Linked DNA regions of Saccharomyces cerevisiae S288C. Changing the gene in region 2 together with the main gene of any one other region gives a genetic interaction. Each region holds a gene or a part of one and is shown on either strand. Other genes may lie near its edges.

Region 1 (3,291 bases), on a different chromosome or scaffold from region 2:
TTTTCTCTTTTACCAGGAAATATTGGAGCATTTTAGTCCCATTATGGATCATTTCTTTACGTGAATACATGATGATAAAGTATAACGATAATGATTCTACTGTGCAAGTAAAGAATGACTCGAAAGAAAATAGTCTCATTGAACCAAGAAGTACGAAAATTGAGTTATATGAACCGGTCTGGTTAAATTTCGTAGAGGCCCTTGGGTGCACTCTGGATTCAGACGTTCAAGTCATTTTGGCATCTCTTAACGATGAGGAATTAGAGTATTTTCTTTTTATTTTATTTAGCCAATGTTTGGAGGCTATCGTCAAAAATATTGATGATCATTCAGTCAAGATGCAAGTTTTACCGGCTTTACACAATGTTTTGAAGAGCAATCTGTGCATAAAAAGTATATTTGAGGATGATATTATTACTGAAGTTGTTGAGATTATGGACAGACTGATTTCTACAGGCGACAGTAAAGAAGAATTTTTGCTTGTTGATATCATCAGTGACTTGATCATTGGGTATTCGAAGTGTAATGCTACTCCTGAAACATTTCTACAAGATATTGACAAACTATATGAGCTACTGCGACTACTGATGACAATTATTTCTGAGAGGTTGCCATTTATTAAGTATAACGTGCTTACCAGCGAAGAAGATGATAATGAAATAAAAATCTCTCCCACAGATATTAGTCTGTTGAAAAAAACATTTATTGCGTTCGAATCAAATATCAGTAACTTCGACAATATGTTCAAAGTAGATCTTTATTCATGTCTTTTATTCATCATAGGGAAAATTTATGAATGTAGTCATCGTGAAGTAATAATTCCAATCATACTCCCACTTTTCAAGGCACTAGTAAAAGCGCTTACGGAATCTGAGGACGAAAAAAATATTGTGTTACTAGAAATATTCTACGGGTCAATAAAAGATGTTATTTATCATAAGCTGGATTCAAAGAATAAAGTTGCAACCATTTTGATCTTGCTGTCTAATGGATACTCTAAGCTAAGTTTTCAGGAACTGAATCAGTGCGCAAATATTCTCTCGGAGGCATTGAATAATCCTGCTACGCAGCCAATTGCTCTACAAGGCTTCAAGAGAATAATATCTAATATTTTCAAATACCCGTTGTTGCAGTATTTTATGAAGTTGGTTATAAAAAGATTCTTTCAAGATATTCAAACAAACGATTCCTTATCGCAGGCAAGCATTAAAACTAAGTTGATAATTCAGTTTTCCGAGGAAGTAATCAAACAAGATCACCAAAAGGCATCATTGTCAATTGCTTTATGTCTTTCTTTCTTTGCCGCATATCATAGCGCATATACAGAGAAAATAGACAACGAAGTAGCAAGTGGCATAGTTGCTTTGGCTAAATTGGACAAAAATTCATTTAAAGAAGCCATTTCTAGCACTATAAGTCCTCAACAAAAAGCAATTATAGGTTCCGTGATGGAGGCATACGTTAAATCGCAGTCTTTGGGCTCTGTCGAAGAGGCCTTTCAACTGAAATCTTTCGACTAATTGCAAGTCGGATGCATATGCACGGAAATAAAACTCATCGCGAAAAAAGAAAAAAAAAATAAAATCTGTGAAAAAATATCAATGGTGCAATTGGTTATTGGTCACTCATCAAGTAATTTGTTAGTTTTTATAGAGTTACAATTGTATAAAGATAAGAACATTTAGTTAAGTTCCCCACTTATTAGATCCCAAAGTTAAAGTTATCATGTGCAGTAGGATACTCTTGTCCGGTTTAGTCGGACTGGGTGCTGGTACTGGCTTAACCTATCTTCTTTTGAACAAACATTCTCCAACGCAAATCATTGAGACACCTTATCCACCTACCCAGAAACCTAATAGTAATATTCAATCTCACTCTTTCAACGTCGATCCTTCCGGGTTCTTCAAGTATGGTTTTCCTGGTCCGATTCATGATCTGCAGAACCGCGAAGAGTTTATCTCATGTTACAACAGACAAACTCAAAATCCTTATTGGGTCCTCGAACATATAACGCCAGAATCATTGGCTGCAAGGAATGCTGACAGAAAAAATTCCTTTTTCAAGGAAGATGAAGTAATTCCAGAAAAGTTTAGAGGTAAACTAAGAGACTATTTTAGGTCGGGCTATGATCGAGGCCATCAAGCCCCAGCTGCAGACGCAAAATTTTCTCAACAGGCCATGGATGATACATTCTACTTATCCAATATGTGTCCTCAAGTAGGAGAAGGTTTTAATAGAGACTATTGGGCGCATTTGGAGTACTTTTGTAGGGGATTGACTAAGAAATATAAGAGTGTAAGAATCGTGACTGGTCCATTGTATCTACCCAAAAAGGATCCCATAGATAATAAATTTAGGGTTAATTATGAAGTTATTGGCAATCCACCCAGTATTGCTGTTCCAACGCACTTTTTTAAATTGATTGTTGCAGAAGCACCAACAGCCAATCCTGCTAGAGAGGATATTGCTGTCGCGGCATTTGTATTGCCAAACGAACCGATATCAAATGAGACGAAATTGACTGACTTTGAAGTTCCTATAGATGCTTTAGAGAGAAGTACTGGGCTAGAACTTCTGCAAAAAGTACCACCTTCAAAGAAGAAGGCATTATGCAAAGAGGTAAATTGTCAAATTGTAGTGAGAGATTTCTCTAACGCGGCGATCAAACAATCGAAAGATGTGAAATTGTTACCTCCTCCAAAAAAAAGGAATTGAATGTACTGAAAAACTGTAAATATAAATTAATTCATAACACAACGATAGAATAGCATGAAAGAATATAACAAGTCTAACGCATATAACATAAAATAATACATTTATTTGATGATCAAAAAAAGAAAAGAATTAGGATGCAATGCTTGGATTTAGTATATATTTACAGAAATTTGTTTTGTTATTATTTGCTTTGTTATTTATATCGTAAATGTGCGTTTGGCCGTTCATCTTAAGTAACGTTTGACAGCCGACACACCATGCTTTTTAATATCTTGTATGATCTCCTTGTTTGTTTTGAACTCTGAATTTCTAATTTGATGTTTTAAGATGAAATTCCAGTCTAACTTCAATTCCTCAATCGTCATACCGTTCTGGTATAGTTCTGCGCACGCCCAAAGAAAAATGTCTGTTCTTCCTATCTGCAGTGCGCTTAATGCAATATTCCTTAAAATAGTAAACCTGTTTTGATTATTCACTTTTAATTTGACATCACATGGGGAGGATGCAATGAATGGGTTACAGTTCGATTTTGTCCAGTATGTTTTACTTCTCTTTGCAGCATTTATATAAAGTAGT
Region 2 (2,968 bases):
CCATGAGATGCAAGAGTTAAATTCCTTATCATCTAGGTTGAAATATGATATGAGGATATTGGAAGTTCGTGTACGAGATATTGAAAGTAGTGTTGCTCAGTTTGATTCCAAATTAATTGGGTTGAAAAGCTCTCTTCAGGGACAGGGTAAAACTGGAATATGCTCTGCAATAGATCCCAAGAGTGATAAAGACGAATATGATAGATGCGTAAATGATTTGATGACCACTAACAACCCCACCTATGAAGCTCTTTGTTTAAAGATGCTGAGCCGCCGTTATTTTAAAGATTTAAAGAATGATACTGTGGGGTGGTTCAGGTGGTTATTTGGTAATAATTCTTTACACAATAATGCCAGTGAAGACGATAGAGGAATACGAGTATGATTTTTTTCGGTTCATCCTAATTTTTTTTTTTTTTCAAAAGGGATCTAAACATTTATCCGTTGTTATAAGTATATTAAAATATATAAATGCATTCAAAGGTTTGCTATTTCACGTCTGCTTACACTTTTGTTCGATCCATCGTAGGCTATTTCAGTACCTGGTACGTGTCTTGCAGGTATTCCAACTGTTTTTTAAAGCGGCTGTAATCTCTGGAATCTTTAGATATACGATCCCAATCCACTTCCTTCAAAAGTTTTTCAAACTGTTTGATAATTGAATGCAATTTTTTTTTTGTTTCTTCATTTTCTGTCTTCAATGACTCGTAATTTTGTTGAAGACTTTTGTTCCTTTCATCAAGCTTCTCTGATGAAAATGTGGCAATATTTCGTTCTCTTATTGCATTCTGTTCGTCGATAAAATTTTTAATATATGAGAAATGCTCATTTATGTTGTTAATTAGCGCAACAGCCTTTGTATTGAAGTACTCTTGTTTTTCAATCTCGTATATGAGTTTAAAATTTTCGCTGATAAGCTTCTGTGCCTCAGTGGGGGGAGATGCTTTTTGAGATGCATTATCTTTCCATGAATCTGGAATTATGTTTTTGCTCAAATTATCATAAGATATTCCTGACTGTTTGGCAAGGCGCTTTAACAATAGTTCTATTCGATCGGTCTCTTGTCTGTTAGCCCGACACTCTGCACTTAAAGCTTTTGTTAATTGAAGAAGATAATCGAAACTATCACTACCACCGCTATTCATATTTGCAAATCACTATATATACTGCTCTGTGCGAACTTATGATGGAAAAAACGAGCAAGAAGTAATAAATCACGGTTTAACTTTCTTCATTAATCGCCGAATGCTAGCCGGAGCTTTGAATGAACCTTTTATTGTGGTTATATTGTTATACAGGTGTCAATATAAACAATAAAAGTTGAAGCGGTGGCTCAATGGTAGAGCTTTCGACTCCAATTAAATCTTGGAAATTCCACGGAATAAGATTGCAATCGAAGGGTTGCAGGTTCAATTCCTGTCCGTTTCAATTTATTTTTTAGCCCTGTGCTTGAGATTATCGTCGACAATGACCAGCTATAAGCTGGCAAGATTGATGCTCTAAAACGCGGGGAATAAAATAATCAAGATGATTAATTGTTGGGATTCCATTGTTGTTAGAGCCTACAATATTAGGTACACAGAATATACTAGAACTTCTTCTCGAGGATGTAGGAATCGTCAAAAGGGAATCGATAGTTTTACGTAACGATATTACTTTATGTTCTTTCTGTTGGAATGAAGCTATAAAATATCATCTGTTCAGTAGTATTCATGCCACTCGTACATTATCATATACAGTGTAAGAAGATGATCTAAACATTGAGAAACAGTCGTAAAATTTAATGGAAGCAGAAATATAAGGATTGATAATGTACTAGGATAATGAAACATACGAAAGGGAGGGAGAAATAATTGTAATTGTATTATATAGGAGTATCGATTCCAATTTGAGGATTGGTATATCTCTCAGGGGAAATTTTATTATATTCTGTACACATAATAAAATAAAGCCCTTGCGAACAATAGAATCCCAACGGTTATCAAATTATTCACAAATTGATCACTTCCTTTTTATACTTTCCCTCTCGCTTCTTATTACATTATCAATCATTGCATTTCAGCTTCCCCTAAATCTGGTGACTGTTTCTCAATCTTTAGATCACCTTCTGTTGGAATAAAAATCCACTATCGTCTATCAACTAATAGTTATATTATCAATATATTATCATATACGGTGTTAAGATGATGACATAAGTTATGAGAAGCTGTCATCGATGTTAGAGGAAGCTGAAACGCAAGGATTGATAATGTAATAGGATCAATGAATATAAACATATAAAACGGAATGAGGAATAATCGTAATATTAGTATGTAGAAATATAGATTCCATTTTGAGGATTCCTATATCCTCGAGGAGAACTTCTAGTATATTCTGTATACCTAATATTATAGCCTTTATCAACAATGGAATCCCAACAATTATCTAATTACCCACATATATCTCATGGTAGCGCCTGTGCTTCGGTTACTTCTAAGGAAGTCCACACAAATCAAGATCCGTTAGACGTTTCAGCTTCCAAAATTCAAGAATATGATAAGGCTTCCACTAAGGCTAACTCTCAACAGACAACAACACCTGCTTCATCAGCTGTTCCAGAGAACCCCCATCATGCCTCTCCTCAACCTGCTTCAGTACCACCTCCACAGAATGGGCCGTACCCACAGCAGTGCATGATGACCCAAAACCAAGCCAATCCATCTGGTTGGTCATTTTACGGACACCCATCTATGATTCCGTATACACCTTATCAAATGTCGCCTATGTACTTTCCACCTGGGCCACAATCACAGTTTCCGCAGTATCCATCATCAGTTGGAACGCCTCTGAGCACTCCATCACCTGAGTCAGGTAATACATTTACTGATTCATCCTCAGCGGACTCTGATATGACATCCACTAAAAAATATGTCAGACCACCACCAATGTTAACCTCACCTAATGATTTTCCAAATTGGGTTAAAACATA
Region 3 (3,497 bases), on a different chromosome or scaffold from region 2:
TATATATACATTTATATAAAAATGTATAAACATACTTGCATTATTGATGTCCCATAAGGGGTGAGAAAAGACAAAAATGGAAACAGGGGAAAAGAAGAAGAGTAAAAAAAGGATTATTTTAGGAGAGAAAGGGGATTAGAAGAACATCGGGCATAAACCTTTGAGCATCATCCTTTATTGATGTTTGACACCTTGCGATTGATGAAAAATATTGATGATATTAAGGTATTTCTGATAGCCACTGCCCCGTCCCTTGAAGCGGCCTTCCGTCGAGGCCTTGGCAACCGTGTCTGGGTGTGTGATATATTACATCAGAGGAAATAAAAGCTTGAGCGGCTAAACTCCCTTAGCTCAGGGGTGGTCTGGCCAGGAATTTTCAGTGGCCATTTTTCCTGTTCCGGGTCCGGCCAATCTGTGCCGGTTTTCTCTAGAGGAAAAAAAAAAGCATGCGGGGTAATGATGTAGAAGATATACAAGCGGGTTAAACTACATTAGTTATGAGTGCTAGAAAGCAAGCGAAGGATAATAGAAGAGGGCTATTCTATGTAAGTATGAGGAGACACAAATGGCGGCTTTTCATATTTTCTTCTGCAATTTCATATAGAAAAGGTGGTAGTCGTCCAGATCATAAACAATTTTGTCTAACTTGATGTAGTCGGGCAGTGACTCGTTGATGCTTAGTAGTTTTTGGAAGGATTGGTTCTGATAATTTTTGGTAAAAAAGGTCATCGAGAACTCTCTTGGTTGAAAAACGTTCAGAATATGTAGAAGAACGTCCAAGTTGTCTTGCTTCCCTTGGGAAATGTCAAATACGGGTATGTTACTTTCGAAAGAGGCGTAAGACCAACCCTTTTCCGGAGTCACGTGCAGGGTGTAATAGTATTTTTCAGCGAGAATCATATTGGATGAGTATCCACATGGCGTGAACGCAAATGCATCGTGGTGAAATGATAAATCGGAGTCTTGGGCCGAGTTGACATATATTTCGTCAAGCCTTGTATTTTTAGTCATTTGGTAGCCGAGGTTGTGGCCCTTATCTTCGTTTGGCTCCACGAGAGCGGTTGTGGATGCCTCAGGCCCGCAAACAAACTTACTAGCGCATTCTGGGTCCAGCTCCGTCATCAGTACTTCGAAAGTTTCGTCGTCATCCTCGATGTACTCCTTTCCCTTAGGTGTGGAGCGGTCCGTCTCGGTGACGTACAGGTTCCAGTGGTTGCTCTTGTCATTTCTTCCCACGGAATAACTTTTACCATTGTCGAAAAATTTGTTCAAATAGTCGACTTCGTCAGCCCAGTTTTGATGGATAGCGGCTTGCTTACAGGGGAAAAGGAAACATCGTCTAGAATAAAACACTTTAAATGGTTTGTACTTGCCCCCTTGTGTTGTGCGGAAAGCCCACGATAACTCTTGCTCAACGATCTGGAAAAGCTTTTCGAGACAGAACAATGTGGTTGTAGTACCGCACGTCTTCATCGTCAATTTGTGATCGAAGACGAAGAGGGAAGACTCACTCAACAAAAAGGCATCCAGTTCTTTAGTCTTCTTCATGGAAAGAACTTCGCATTTCACTAATTTCAAAATCTCGATCCATCTATCCATGCCAATATTTCTTAATGTCTTTTCGGTCGTGATGGACTTCTTGTGAGGGAAGAACCAGATTTCCAGCAACTTCTCGGGACCCTCGAACGCATCCGTTGAGTCTAAAGTGGCTGATAGTTCGTGGTCAATGTAGTTGTGGTTAGTCAATTCTTTTATGGTGACAGTCATTCTATGGTCCGCCTATTTGCGTAAGACACTATATGAAAACCTAAAAAATATAAAAAAGAAGCTACAGTACAGTAATTGATTAACCTGGAAGAAAAAAAAGAAAAAAAGAGTTGATGCAAGGAGCGAGCTGTAGCGAATACAATATATACACGTATAGATATGCAGAGATGCTTTTAGTCGATTAGCAAAGTTTATTCGATGCCTAAATACCGGAGAACCGTGTTTGGAATTTTTTTTCTTCGAGTGGAAAAAAGTGAAAATTTCCAAAGTCAATCATTGTGTACGTACGCTGAAATTGGATGCAGAAGAGGTAAAAGGCGAAGGAAAAGAGGGCGAGGGTAAAAAGCCTGATTGCCAAACCATGGTGCCCAATTTATTGGATATTACTACTGATGGAAGGCTACATATCTCTGGCGCTTTCTATCAGCTGTCATCGATTTGAAATTCTTCTAGCCCTAGGAACGCCATTATGGGGCTTATCCGGGTAGCCAGTTGGCGGTTTTAGTTTTTTCACTTCTTGATTTTTTTCTAGTTCGAAGAATTTTTTCCACTGATGATTGAGCTATAAAAGAGCCTGATTAAGATGAAGAGCTCCGATTCTCTTCGTTAACGGAGCATCAAACATGACGTTAGCGTCAAGTAACCTACGATATTTGTGCAACAGACATGATGGAGTACCCTCATGCTTTGGCGCGTGCGCATCTATATAAGGTTAGGGACTGCAAAAGAAGCGGCGAGGCAGCCCACATCAAGTGGAACTACACAGACTTCCTTGTCGCGATACTACGGTCCCAAGAGCAATCCTAACAAGCAATTACATATTCCCCCGCTGAACCTGTACAGTCCACGGATGGTGCAGAAGTTATATGATTTGGGGGAAGACGCTTTTTCACATCTTCTTGCATGATAAGAGTAGTAGTAACTAAGTAATATGATTCAGTCAGTCTCTAGTTAATATAATTAGGCATTACCCTACATTGTGGCGGCCTCTTTTTTATTTCGAATCGGGCCTTCCTTCCACCCCGGCCCCGGTTGCGTCGATCAGAAAATTATATTATGGATGAGGATGATGAAGGTGCTTAACCTTTACAGTCAAACTTTTAATAGTCAACCATTCACAAGGACTAGGAATTTGTCTCTGGAAACAGCTGGTTCCACAAAGAAGTACTTCCACGACATTGCTATATACTTGTGCTGGTATATTTTTCTTTGTTAGTTAAACCCCATTTTTATAAGCGTATCGTTTCGTATAGTGCCGTACTCAAAGATCAAGGATTAAAACGCTATTTCTTTTAAATCTGCTATGTCTGCTGCTCCTGTCCAAGACAAAGACACTCTGTCCAATGCCGAGCGTGCGAAGAACGTCAACGGGTTGCTTCAGGTGCTCATGGACATTAACACTCTGAACGGAGGGAGCTCCGACACTGCTGATAAGATAAGAATTCATGCCAAAAACTTCGAGGCAGCTTTGTTCGCAAAGAGCTCTTCAAAGAAAGAATACATGGACAGCATGAACGAAAAAGTTGCTGTCATGCGCAACACGTACAATACGAGGAAAAACGCCGTTACTGCTGCTGCCGCTAATAACAACATTAAACCCGTGGAACAGCACCATATTAACAACTTGAAAAATTCTGGCAACAGCGCCAATAATATGAATGTCAATATGAATCTAAACCCACAGATGTTCTTGAATCAGCAGGCTCAGGCAAGGCAACAGGTTGCGCAAC

What was found. A genetic interaction does not mean that the proteins touch.
Region 1: mutations in FAR3 (region 2) and NUC1 together harm fitness more than expected from each alone (negative genetic interaction), as found in Saccharomyces cerevisiae (2 studies listed by BioGRID).
Region 3: mutations in FAR3 (region 2) and SPE2 together harm fitness more than expected from each alone (negative genetic interaction), as found in Saccharomyces cerevisiae (2 studies listed by BioGRID).

Annotation. Positions count from the first base shown.
Region 1 is NC_001142.9:39,618-42,908, reverse strand, and holds NUC1 (ribonuclease), read left to right. Parts: upstream 1-1,725; coding exon 1,726-2,715; downstream 2,716-3,291. Other genes in the region: AP-1 complex accessory protein LAA1, read left to right, coding at 1-1,520; CBP1 (Cbp1p), read right to left, coding at 2,940-3,291. UniProt on the Saccharomyces cerevisiae protein: This enzyme has both RNase and DNase activity.
Region 2 is NC_001145.3:377,763-380,730, reverse strand, and holds FAR3 (Far3p), read right to left. Parts: upstream 1,146-2,968; coding exon 531-1,145; downstream 1-530. Other genes in the region: STB2 (Stb2p), read left to right, coding at 1-385; YMR051C (gag protein), read left to right, coding at 2,406-2,968. UniProt on the Saccharomyces cerevisiae protein: Participates in the control of the reentry into the cell cycle following pheromone treatment.
Region 3 is NC_001147.6:231,870-235,366, forward strand, and holds SPE2 (adenosylmethionine decarboxylase SPE2), read right to left. Parts: upstream 1,768-3,497; coding exon 577-1,767; downstream 1-576. Other genes in the region: GAL11 (Gal11p), read left to right, coding at 3,071-3,497.